Linked DNA regions of Caenorhabditis elegans. The protein of the gene in region 2 interacts with the protein of the main gene of each other region in a pairwise test. Each region holds a gene or a part of one and is shown on either strand. Other genes may lie near its edges.

Region 1 (7,819 bases), on a different chromosome or scaffold from region 2:
GATTATTTTAGACTTCTTTTAATTTATAGCTTCTGGGGAATCTCCTAAAAAAGTATTGGGTTTCGTTTTTAAAACTTTAGTGGTCACATGAAAACTTTGAAAACTCAATTATTGTTGTGCTAGAGGCTCAATTCCAAATCCATCCATCTTTGTATTTGGAAGGCAATCATTCCAAAATCTATTCCCAAGAAACAAAAAATATGGTCTATAGGAGAGCGGAGCACTTGATTGAAATGATGCACATACATACCCACACAGACACAAATTAACATTTCCTCTGAGAATAGGCAATTTTGAAAACATGAGGGAAATGCACATAGCATGCGTAGAGCTGCTTCTTAATTGTTCATTACATATTACGAGTCAGTGCTACGATGTTTATCTTCTAAAAACGCATTTTGCTTGTCATGTTTCGAAACAAATGAGTGCGCGAACAACGAGTATCTGTGCATTTATATCTATGAGTGTGTTGTTCTCAATAATAACAGAGACAGGAAGAGGAGCAGTTGGACGAATCGACGCGTCATATGTGTTTTTGCATGGGACCCCTCTTGTTCTTCTTCCTATTGTGACCAGCACTACCGCATCTTTCCGTTCATTCGATTTATGCATTACACCATACTTTGACGAGTTCGACAACATGCATTAAGTGATACAACGTGTCCTCCACTCTCTACACATGTCCCTACAATTCCATCAACATACTAATTAATGAGAAGAAATGATTGGACTATGTTTCGGATTTAGCTATCGTAATTTTAAGGGAACTACTTTAAAGGAGAAACAATTTTAGATATTTGAATTTATTGTTTATCCTTAATGCAAAAATCAAGGTTTCAATATGATCTGAGCAAGAGAAGCGATGTTCTACTATAAAATAACTATATCACAGGTTTGATACAGGTGTTCGAAAGAACTGTTTCCCATGCAACCAGCCATCTGTCTATTGTAAGAACAAGAAAACCAATCGAATGCCTATTCAAAAGACACTAAGTGTTTTGCCACTGAACAGATCATCCCATCGTTTCGGACGTCGGCTCCTAATAGACTCCACTACTAATCACTTCGAATATCATTTGCATCGGCTCATCTTAACAAAAAAGGCGGGAAACGAGAAGACCGGAAGATGTTCGCCAGCTGCCTCTTTATGAAATGAAATACGTGTATGGCACGGCGCGTGTTCCACACAATCGCCGATTAGACAATTGTTGAATGAATAAAAGGGGAACGTCGCCGTCCTTTTTCCTATCTGCTCTCATCATGCGCACCAACCTCGCGCACTATTCCATTACACAATATTCCTGGAGACACATCGTTTACTATGATCTATGCAAATGTCGTCAAAACAATCATCTAATGAGACAAAAGCTGCAGCAGCAGTTATAACAAAAAGGGGGAGAACAAATGTTGTGGCCAATTGCTTGAAACATACGGGATAAATTTGATAGCAGCGTAACCGCTTACAAGATGAGATTATAGTGACATCCGATCCGTGGAATGTGTGTGTGTGTGTGTGTGCAAATACGTCGTCGCGCATCCTAAATATGCCACAAAACATGTGCTCCTAACAATTGCGGGAAGCAAAAAGAGCAACACTGATTTGCTTATTAAAGGGGCCGAAGAAAAAAGAAATATAGATCAGATATCGTAGTAAAACTTCTCGAAAAATCAAGTTTCCTAATTTGCAGTCGAAATTGGCAACTACCTAGATACCACCTATTTTAATTTTGGAATTCGACCGAAAATAGGCAATTATTCAAGTATTATAATTTAATTTTTTGTATTAAAACATTTTAGGGTGTCGAACATGGAATAATGCTCTAAACTTTACAAAAAGCTCAACTTTCCGAAAATTTGGCATTGTGCGTACAAATAACCCCTAATGTAGTGAAGATCACATCTACTAAAATTGAAGGTTCTGTGATAAGAAAGTTTCCTTTCAGCTTTTGTGTTGCCCTCTCATCCCAAAAAAGATCTGATTATTGAACATAGTTTTTTTTGCTGTGAAATGTGTAATATTTATGTGAAGAGACGAGCCTTTGTCGATCAACGTTTTTATGTGCGCCTACTAATATCATTTTATGTGGGCAATGCACATACATACACACACTCATCCACGTTTTGGTATTGAACAAAATTAATCGAAAATGTAAAATGACATATAACATGTATGTGCCAACAATGTGTTGTGTGATGCGAGAGCATTCGGTCCAGTAGTGCAACGTCGACGAAAATTAAAAAATCTGATCTATTCGTATGGATAAGATGCCCGCCTTTCACACTTCCTATGTCAAGTGATGAAAACGAAAAATGCAGAAATTATTGCTTTTGTTTCCAATTCAAATTGTTTCGTCTAACAATCATCAAAAATTAAAAGACAAGGAAATGAGGGGCCTTCCTCTTTCACTGGGGGAACTCATGATAAATCTCCCACACTTCTCTTTTCTAAGAGTATATTCTGTCTGTAGAAAGGGCCGAGACATCAGAATTTCGAAACAATTTTAGATACGCCACCGGGGTCTAAATGAAATTCGATATGATAATTGCATTTTCTGAGCAAACAGGAAAAGATTTTCGATCGTGCACGCTGTCATCAGTTTGCCATCGTCTTCGTCACTTTATACTCATTATCTAACATTTATCCATAGCATGTCAAACGAGCCGACTTTTGCTTCTGCTCAGCGACGACGGCACAGAAGAAGCAGAAGACGGAGCATCGTCTTGTTACATTATTCAGAACAGACACACGATGACTTCTTCTTTCTTGCTCGCGCACTTCCGTCGCTGTCACAGAGCAAACGGCGACTCGGCGCAACTCATCAGCTTCTAAATTTGAGCAAAAACTTTGATATATGAAATGAAGGGGGAACTTCATTTGATGTGAGGCTTCAACTAATCATCCAAATTTTCATTTCAATTTGGAAAATTCAAAAGACCACGGAATCGAGAGGGAAGTATAAAAAAAACTATACTATGGGAAATTATTGGATTCGGTGATATTATTCTAAATCGATCTGTCGATTGAATTAGAAAGGAAAGCTTAAAATAGTTCAATTAGCTGAAAAAGTTCTTTGAACCCATGATGTTTCAATAACTATCATACAGACAATAGAAAGTTTTGGCAATTGCCGATTAAAAAAATTTTACCACTTCGATAAATTCACAATCCAAAAATAGGCTATTGTCGAGTTTTCAAATTTTGCAATGAATAAAAAATAAGAAAAACTGATTTCTACAGTAGTAATGCTTTTTTTTTAGCTTTTTAAATAGAAATTTTCTCTTTTTCAGTTCATAAAATCTTATTATCTCGTTATTTCACTCTGAATATTTTTTTTTCTAGACAATTCGAGAAGGCCGAACTTGAAAATAATCACCTCTGCTCCCATAAGAAGTGACATAAGAAATCAAATATTCAATATACTCACTCTTCCTCCTCCCATATTCATTGAATTGAATAAATCGGCAAGTCCGTTTGCAGAGTTTGCTCTGAAATGAGAAAAAACTATCAGCTATAAAAACTATCAACGAACCCAGCAGAAGATGCATTGGCATCAGAACCGAATGCTCCACCTCCCATTGCTCCAGCTTGGAAAAGGCTAAAATAATTTTAAATAGTTTTTGACTAAATGGTATTTTCAAATACTTCAAAAGTTGAGGTGCTTCTCTGCGAAGAGTTGAAAATCCCTCTTGAATTTGACGGAATGCTTCACTGACCCGTGGGTTTCTCATTGCCTCCATCACAGATGGATCAGACATCTGAAATTTTGAAATATAAATTTTTGTAAAAATTTAGAAAATAAACCATGTTGAGCATTTGTGGAAAACTTCTACGAATTCCTTCGGAAATCTGTGGGTTATCACGAGCCGATGGAATTTGTCCAACAATCTGAACTTACATAATTATTTTAAATTTTTTAAAAATGAAACTAACGGAATCAATGAGTCCAGGATTGTTTGACATATTTTGACGAATTGAATTGATGACTTCTGGGCTGAACATACTGGCCTGCATACTTGGATTGGACATCATCTGCTCCATTAGGGAGCTGATGCCAGGTGAATCAAGCAATGCTGAATATGAATTAAAACATTATTAACGGATCACTAAACTATGAGGATATTCGTGACGTTTAAATATTTTGTTTAAAATTATAATAAATGGTGGGCGGCAGACGTAAAATTGGGCGAATTGGAAATTTGTCGTTTTGAAATTTTTGTTGGAAATTTTTTAAGGAAAATGTTCAAAAATACATTGCTGAAAATCTTTTTTCACATTTACAATTTTTTAATTTTTTCGGCAAATTGATATTTGGCATTTGCCACTCGTCATTGATTATTATATGATTTTAATGTAAGATTTTTTTTTACTTAGAGAAATTTGACTCAGAAAAACTTACAATTAAAGTCAGCAGAACGATTATTCGATTGATTATTGGTAGCTTGATTGGCGTTTGAAGCCCATGGATTTGGCAGAGCTTCATTATTTTCTTGTCCAGCACGATCGACACGTGGCTCACTGCTCTGATCACCTCTTAGAGAAGCAAATGGATTTCCACTGAGCGAATTTGTTGCACTATTGAGCAAGGGCTCCTGTACATCATTGTACAACCGTTCAAGAGCAGCTTCTCCTCCGGGAATTCCCTGAAAATTGAATGTTTCAACATAAAATAACAAATCCAACCGAAAAAAAGGAAAATCTGTTGAAATTGGAATTCAAGACAAAAACCCCTGTAGCGCGGCTGGGATGGAATATATAGTTTCCAGAAATGTACCCCTGATATTAAAAAAAAATTAGCAATTTTTTGCCATATCAATTAAAATAACAATTAATTACTTTTAATAGTCATATTTAGACATTTAGATCGGCATCCTTGATCGATTTTTTAAAACTAAAACTGAAAAATCAGAATTTTTCGTTTTTCGATTTTAGAGAGAAAAAACCGACTTTTTCAATTTTTAAAAAATGGTATTAAATTTTGGTAATTTTTCTTTTTTTTAGACAATTGTTAGATAACATTAAAATGTCTTCGTATGTTTTTTGTCACCAACATATATGACACAAGTTGTGTGTCACACAACTTGATAAAAATCAAATTTTATTGATAATTTTCTGGACTTTTTTTCTTCGATGTTTCGATTTTCGCTGAAAACATTGAAAAATTGAAAAATGGCATCCCTTGATCAGCATAGCTATATATAATGTACCTGAAGATTCCTAATAGCTTGATCATGATTCCGCATCATTTCTTGGAACATATTTGGATTACGAATCATCTCCATAGTTTGACGCATTACATTCGGATCGTTGAGAATGTGTCCAACTTCTGGATTTCTCTGAAAATATTTATTGTCGATATACGAGAGAAATGTGGAAGATTAAAAAATTAAATAATTTTTCGAATCCGAAAATTTACAAAACAAATATCCAGGAAAAACTCGAACCTCAATCAATGCTTGGAATTGTGGGTTGGATTGAATAATTGTTCTCATAAACTCTGGATTTCCTAGAAGTTGTTGTGTAATTGGATTATCCATAACTGAACGCATAGCATCTGGATTGTTTAAAATATCAGCAGGTGATCCCATTCCTCCCATTGCTGCAAATGGATTATTGGTAGGATTCGGTTGTGAAGAAGGTGTTGGATTGGAACTTGGTGCAGATGAAGCTGTTGGTGTTGCAGCAGCCGGCGCTGGTGTTGGACGGGCTTGATTTCTAATAACCAAGTGGACGGTGTGACCATCAGCGATTTCTAAATTTTTGTTTATTATTTTTTGGAACACATTTTTCAACTTACTGTGCTGTGTGAGAGTTTCTTCATCCTTCAGAATTTTTCCGGTGTAAATTATACAAACTTGTTCTTTGTTCGCAGTTGGAACGAACACAAGAACCTTGTCTTTTAGCTGTAAAATATTAATTAAACACTGTGATTTACACATTTAATTTATCAAAATGGAATAATCACTTGAATTTTTATCTAATTCTCAAGAGCAAAATTTTATTTTTTAAATAAAATATAACATACTTCTGAAACTGATGCATCCGCAGCAATCTCAACGTCATACTTGTTCGACGGTGATTTCACGTGAACTTTGATGAGTGCACTCTCTGTAGCCATCTTAAATTTGAGAAATATTAAAAAACCGACAAAATTAAATAAAGAAAAAGGATTGAGAGAATGAGAGGCGGAGACGGAAAAGAACACGTTGCATCGATAAATCGAGAATATTCTCGAAGCGCAAAAAGAAATTTCGCAACTATTTCAGACCGAATAATGTAATAATGTAATGGGTCTCTTCGATAGAAAATAAACGAAGATAAACGAAGACACAATTCTTCCTGACGCGCGAGCTTCAATATGCACGTGATGACTAATTTGGTTTCCATGGTGATCTTTTTGTTCCTTTTATCGATTCAAATTTACAATAAAAATAAGAAATTAAAGTTCTAAATGGCGCTCCAATCAATTTGCCTTCCAATTTAACGTCGATTCCTTCTATATCAGGTCATAAAATGAATAAAAAACAATGATCAATAAAATGATGCGGTAGTTGCGTAAATCGACACATGATGGTCGCCTCTTCCGTGCGAGACCCATTGGGCGGAGTTCTCACAAGAATGAGGCCAATCGGCACACAACACGCGTGCGACAGGCAGTGAACGACGTGTTTTTGGCTCAGTTCCTACCAATCCCTGGTGTACACACGAGCGCCACGTGGACCTTAACAATTCGGGTCTATTTTTATGCTTCTGCTCTGCATTTTCTGGATTATTAGTAATAATATCATTAAAAGTGATATAACGCTCCCCGAGTCTATATAAAATTTCTCCTCCATACAACACATGTTTTTTGGCTTTCTTCTTCTAAGCTTAAAATTTATAGTTATTTACTAACTGTATTTTCCACTTATTAAAGATAATTTTTGAAAAGTGTTTGTAAATACTTAAAATTGAACCCGAAACAATCTGTATTTGTCCATTCACATGTGATTCACAGAAAAGAATGAAAATAAATGCGAAAAAAAAATAAATAAAGTAAAGGCGCATTGATTTTACCGCTCGCGGTATCTCGCCACGAAAACACGTTTCGCGTCAAGCGGCTCACGTTTTCGATGCGATCGCGGTTTGTTAATTGCGAAAACACCTTCCCTTCTCTTCAATCGTTCGCTCAATTTCTAGAAAATATTTCTGAATAATCTGAAAACCTCTAATCTTGTTTCTTAGTTTTTAACTTTTTGTCGGTGTTCCCGATAATCTCTCGCCCTCTAAACTCACTCGATCGATTGTCGTTTATAGGTAAAGTTTTTAGGTAATGATTTGGGTCCAGGCAGCTTTGGTCGCCTCCTTCCTGGCGTTCGCCAGTGCTGGAGGAGCCGTTCTCGAGTATACCGACGGAAACTTCGATGATCTCATCCAAACCCACGACATTGCTCTTGTCAAGTTCTACGCTCCCTGGTGCGGACACTGCAAGAAAATTGCCCCAGAGTATGAGAGAGCTGCCCCAAAACTCGCATCTAACGATCCACCAGTCGCTCTCGTCAAGGTAAGATAACCATACTTATTTACACAGCCATCGCTCATATATCGATCGCAGTGACACTGACAAATACGCGAAAGCTGATAAAACAGCAACGAAAGCCACATTGAATAGAAATATATGAAATGCATACAAAGGATTCTTTGAATTTATTGTTCTAGTCCTTATGCATATAGAAACATTTGTCCGTCATATATATTATGTATGCTGGTCCAAAATGGTTATTGTGTATTCAAAAGGCCATTGACAATGAGATCGGCTCGACATTTACATTTTCCCACGCA
Region 2 (4,370 bases):
AATTTGGAAAACTTCAAAGATCTGGAACACCTTGAACTCAGTGGCTGTTCATGGTTCAGAGCGGAGCATTTTCGAGCATTGGAGGCAAATCGTGTTTCTCTTTATTGCTTAAACTTCACTGTTCAAGACGTGAATACTATTCTCAGAGATTGGACCCGAGGATCAAATGCGAAATTGGAAAATTTGATTGTTCATTCGAAAGAGATTGATGGAAGAGTTCCAGGGCAAATTCTGGAAGGTCTCGATGTGAAACCATGGAACCACGAACAACGGCAGAAAATTTTCCCGTAAGTTTTCAAAAGTTTCCTGAAAGTTGCAAATTAAATTCTGTTTCAGAAAAGAAGAACCATTCCAATCATTAAACTGCGAGAAAGCGATGGATTTTGAACGAGCCGATGGTCTTCTCGCTTCTGTGATCATTAACGATAACGAGGTTGAGATGGTGGTTTGGCATAAAAGATTCTCCGACCAAGAGCCGATGGAAGAAGATTGAATTTTCATTTAATTTTGTTGCAATAAACCAAATGTTGAATTTAAAAATGTGATCTTCATGAAATCGATAGTTACAAAACGGAAAAATTAGAATTAAAAGCACAAATACTCGAGAGACGAGATCCATATTTACTTGACATTTCTCTTCAACTGCTGTCTCAGCTCTATTATCTTCTCACGATCCCCAGCAGGAAGCATCTGAAGATCGTGCTCGCTGAGCTGCATGACTTGCATCAGAAGCTCCGCATTTTGCTGCTCTTCTTGATGATTTTGTTGTGGCTGCTGAACTGGAGGTCTCATCTGAACTGGTGGCTGCTGCTGTGGCGGTGGCTTGTACTGCTGTGGAGCCACTGGTTGCCCGTAATTTTGACCGTATTGAGGAGCTTGCGGATGTCCCATAGGTGGACCCATAGGTGGTCCCATCGGAGGACCCATAGATGGGCCAGGATGAGCAAATGTTGGCTTCGGTGGCATCGGCATCTGTTGTTGCTGAACCATTGGCGGTGCTCCTTGAGGTGTATTATGGAATGGTGTCAGCGTGGCGGCCTTATTACGATGAAGGAGTCCAAGTGCAGTCTGTGGATCAACGATTCGCATGACAACGGCGGCTTGGAGCACCGCGTAGGCGATTTGTGGATGCTCGACCAGGAATTTGTGTAGTTCCGATGGATTGTTCTTCAGCGATTCTTGCAGTTGCTTCATTAGTTCGAACATTTTCTCCGGAGCCAGGGAGGCGACTGTTTGGGAGATTCTCTAAAATTTGTGATTTGAGAAAGAAAATGAGCTCGATAATGCATATTTAGGCCCTATTTCGTCATTTTTGAGCATTTTCTATTCATTTTTGTGCAAATACGACTATTTTTCATCATTTTTAAGCTTAATTTGAGACAATTCATTACGAAATTCTTACAATTGAGCTCATTTTGAGACTATACGTTCAGAATGACTAAATAAGCTTAAAAATGACTAAACAAGAGCGAAGTTTGCCAAAAAATAATAAAAATGATTAAAATTTGGTCGAAGAGAACCAAAAATTGTTTTAAAAAAGTACGAAAATTACAAAAAATGACCAGTGTAGGTCATTTTGGAAATTTCTGGCGAATTTCGGTCATTTTCATTCATTTTTGGGCATTTTTGGGCATTTTCAGGCCAATTGCAGTCATTTTCGAGCCGATTTCAGTCATTGTTGAACATTTCAGGCCAATTTCGGTCAATTTTGGACATTTCAGGCCAATTCCGGTCATTTTTGGACATTTCAGGCGAATTTTGGCCATTTTTGGATATTTCAGGGAAATTTCTGTCATTTTCAGGCCAATTTCAGTCATTCCTGAACATTTCTGGCCAATTTTCGTCATTTTTAGACATTTCAGGCCAATTTCAGTCATTTTTGGACATTTCAGGCCAATTTCAGTTATTTTTTAGACATTTCAGGCCAATTTCGCTCATTTTTAGCTACCTCCGGTGCTTTTCCAGCATCACACTCTGGACCATACGGATTCTCTTCGACAGGAGCTGGAGCATTACTCGATGAGCCGAATTCTTCCATATTCATTCCACCAGCAGCACTGTCGACTCGCAAAATACGTCCACTCAGCTCGTAACTGAACATTTATTGAATAAATAATTTATTTTTCAAATATTTAATACCCATTAAGGTTTCGAATTGCAACTTCGGCGGTTTGAATGTCTGGAAATTCAATAAATCCGTATCCCTTTGGCTTTCCGGTCTCCCGATCGTGAACCATTTTGATCGACAACACATTTCCTGCCTGAAAACTTTTTTTCAGTATTTTAATTGGAAAGAATAAAATAATAATTACCTTTGAAAAAATGGAGCGAATCGTGTCTTCGGATACATCGTAGCTAATGTTTCCAACTGAAAAATGCGAAAATTACGTTTTTTTTTCGAAAATTCACAGTTTCCTACCGAAAACTGAACGTTGAGATCGATCATTGCCCACTCCGGATGATTTGTATCCCCCGGACATCATTTTTCAACCTGGAAATTGAAAATGAATAAATTAAATCGTCGATAAATCGATAAAAGCATTTAAGGAGTTGGAAACTGCACAGAGAAAAAACTATTCGAAAATAAATCGCGTGCCGCACACTTGCGAAAACTGCGCGCCCGCATTGCATATTCGTTGCCTCTAGCTCCACCCACATTTTTTGTGACGTCACAGCACAAGCAAAGTGACCCTCCGAAAATGACCGATTTCCGCGGAAAAAGACGGAAATTGACATTGATTCTTGTTTGACACACATATTGATTGACAAAGATTTCGTATTTCGTCAAAAAATGATATCTTCTGCATAATTTTTATTATTACACATTCTTAAAAATCGGGTACTACTCATTTTTCTTACGAAAAACTTTAAAATTCGAAAAAAAATGTCTTCTCATGAATAACAGCTTGTCTCTCCGACTATATTTTTCACATTTCCGCCAATATTTTCAGTTTTTTTTTTTTTTAGTTTTTCGCCGTTTGATTTATGAGCCAATTTCGCGCATTTTGATTGATGGGAACAGCGTTGACGTGGGGTGTTAGTGTTCCCGAGAGATGCAGAGTATATATTTTATTTTGTTTTATTTAGTTGAAATGACAAAATTCAAATAATTTTTTTAGTTTGAAAATATTTTTTGCCTAGTTTTTCCACTTCGAAACACCGCATAAACTAGTTATACCTGATGCCTGATGTTTGGTAGTTTTCTATTTTGGGAGTATTTGGAACTAATTGAAACGAAACATTTTCTATTTAAAAAAATTTATCAAATAATTCTTCCACATGTTTTCCAACCCTTTTTTAGACCAGCCGTTGAATTTTCAATAAATCGCTTCGAGATCTTCGATTTGACGACACACTGAAAATAGTGCTCTTTTCGAAATGGAAATTCAATAGCGCTCCACTGCCAAACTAAACTTATTGGGCGCAAAGCAGTAATTTTAAAGAAATTTCCAGCTTCGAGTTTTGGAGACCGTAACAAATCTTCCAAAAATGCAAGGAAAATTCTGAAAATGCGTATTGCGCACCATATTTGACGCGCAAAATATCTCGAAGCGAAAACTACAGTAATTTTTAAATGACTACTGTAGTCCTTGTGTCGATTTACGGAAATCACTTATTAATCGATAAAATATTAGAAGAAAACATAACAATGACAAAATATTACGAACTATCGATCGAGCCCGTAAATCGACACCAGCGCCACAGTAATCATTTAAAGAATTCGCTCACGAGATATAGTTATATTTTGCGCGTCAAATATGTTGTGCAATACGCATTCTCAGAATTTTGTGTTCCCGTAATATAGTAGTTTCACTAGAATTTGATAGGCCTTCTTAAAGGTGCACGGACTTATTCAGATGGGTCTCGGCGCGCGTAGAAAAGTTTATAGTTAAAAGTTTCTCGTTTTTTTGAATTTTTGCGGCTCCGTCCTTGTTTATTTTTCTTTTAAAAATTCTATTAAAATAGTTTTAACTCAGTTTTCAAATTAAAAAAAATACTACCATAAATTTTTGTTTGTGCTCCGAGACCCATCTAAAAAAATCCGTGCGCCTTTAAAAAGACACACGGATTTCTGGCTTTCCTCATAAATTGAAATGGAAGAGTTTGCCAAACTAGGCCATTTTGGCTCGGCCATATCTGGGGTAGATTTACGGTGCGTTGCGTGTCGCGCCGCGGCTCGGTTTTGGTTGTAAAACTAAATGTAACTGTCCGAGTTGAGTACCCAACTTTCCCACGCGTTGTCCGGCAGGCGATTGTCAATGGAGCGCGAAAAATTCAACGAGGAAGGCCGGAACCCCGTGAAGGCATGCCAAAATCTAGTGAAATTAACAAAACGGGTTTGCCGCCAATACTTAGCGAGACCCAACGTT

Evidence for each region.
Region 1: the proteins of cpf-2 (region 2) and ubql-1 interact in a two-hybrid assay, tested with the Caenorhabditis elegans proteins (one large-scale study listed by BioGRID).

The regions. Positions count from the first base shown.
Region 1 is NC_003279.8:7,020,279-7,028,097, reverse strand, and holds the start of ubql-1 (Ubiquilin), read right to left. Parts: upstream 6,117-7,819; coding exon 6,024-6,116; intron 5,902-6,023; coding exon 5,796-5,901; intron 5,751-5,795; coding exon 5,443-5,750; intron 5,335-5,442; coding exon 5,206-5,334; intron 4,642-5,205; coding exon 4,398-4,641; intron 4,072-4,397; coding exon 3,932-4,071; intron 3,887-3,931; coding exon 3,803-3,886; intron 3,757-3,802; coding exon 3,644-3,756; intron 3,597-3,643; coding exon 3,531-3,596; intron 3,487-3,530; coding exon 3,426-3,486; coding exon of another isoform or gene 3,405-3,425; exon of another isoform or gene 3,375-3,404; intron 1-3,374. Other genes in the region: pdi-3 (Protein disulfide-isomerase), read left to right, coding at 7,311-7,541. UniProt on the Caenorhabditis elegans protein: May play a role in the ER-associated protein degradation pathway (ERAD) possibly via its interaction with ER-localized proteins ubxn-4 and cdc-48.1 and/or cdc48.2, providing a link between the polyubiquitinated ERAD substrates and the proteasome.
Region 2 is NC_003281.10:13,266,393-13,270,762, forward strand, and holds cpf-2 (RRM domain-containing protein), read right to left. Parts: upstream 2,492-4,370; 5' UTR 2,484-2,491; coding exon 2,420-2,483; intron 2,369-2,419; coding exon 2,313-2,368; intron 2,262-2,312; coding exon 2,140-2,261; intron 2,094-2,139; coding exon 1,949-2,093; intron 1,246-1,948; coding exon 622-1,245; 3' UTR 540-621; downstream 1-539. Other genes in the region: F56A8.5 (F-box domain-containing protein), read left to right, coding at 1-287, 337-493.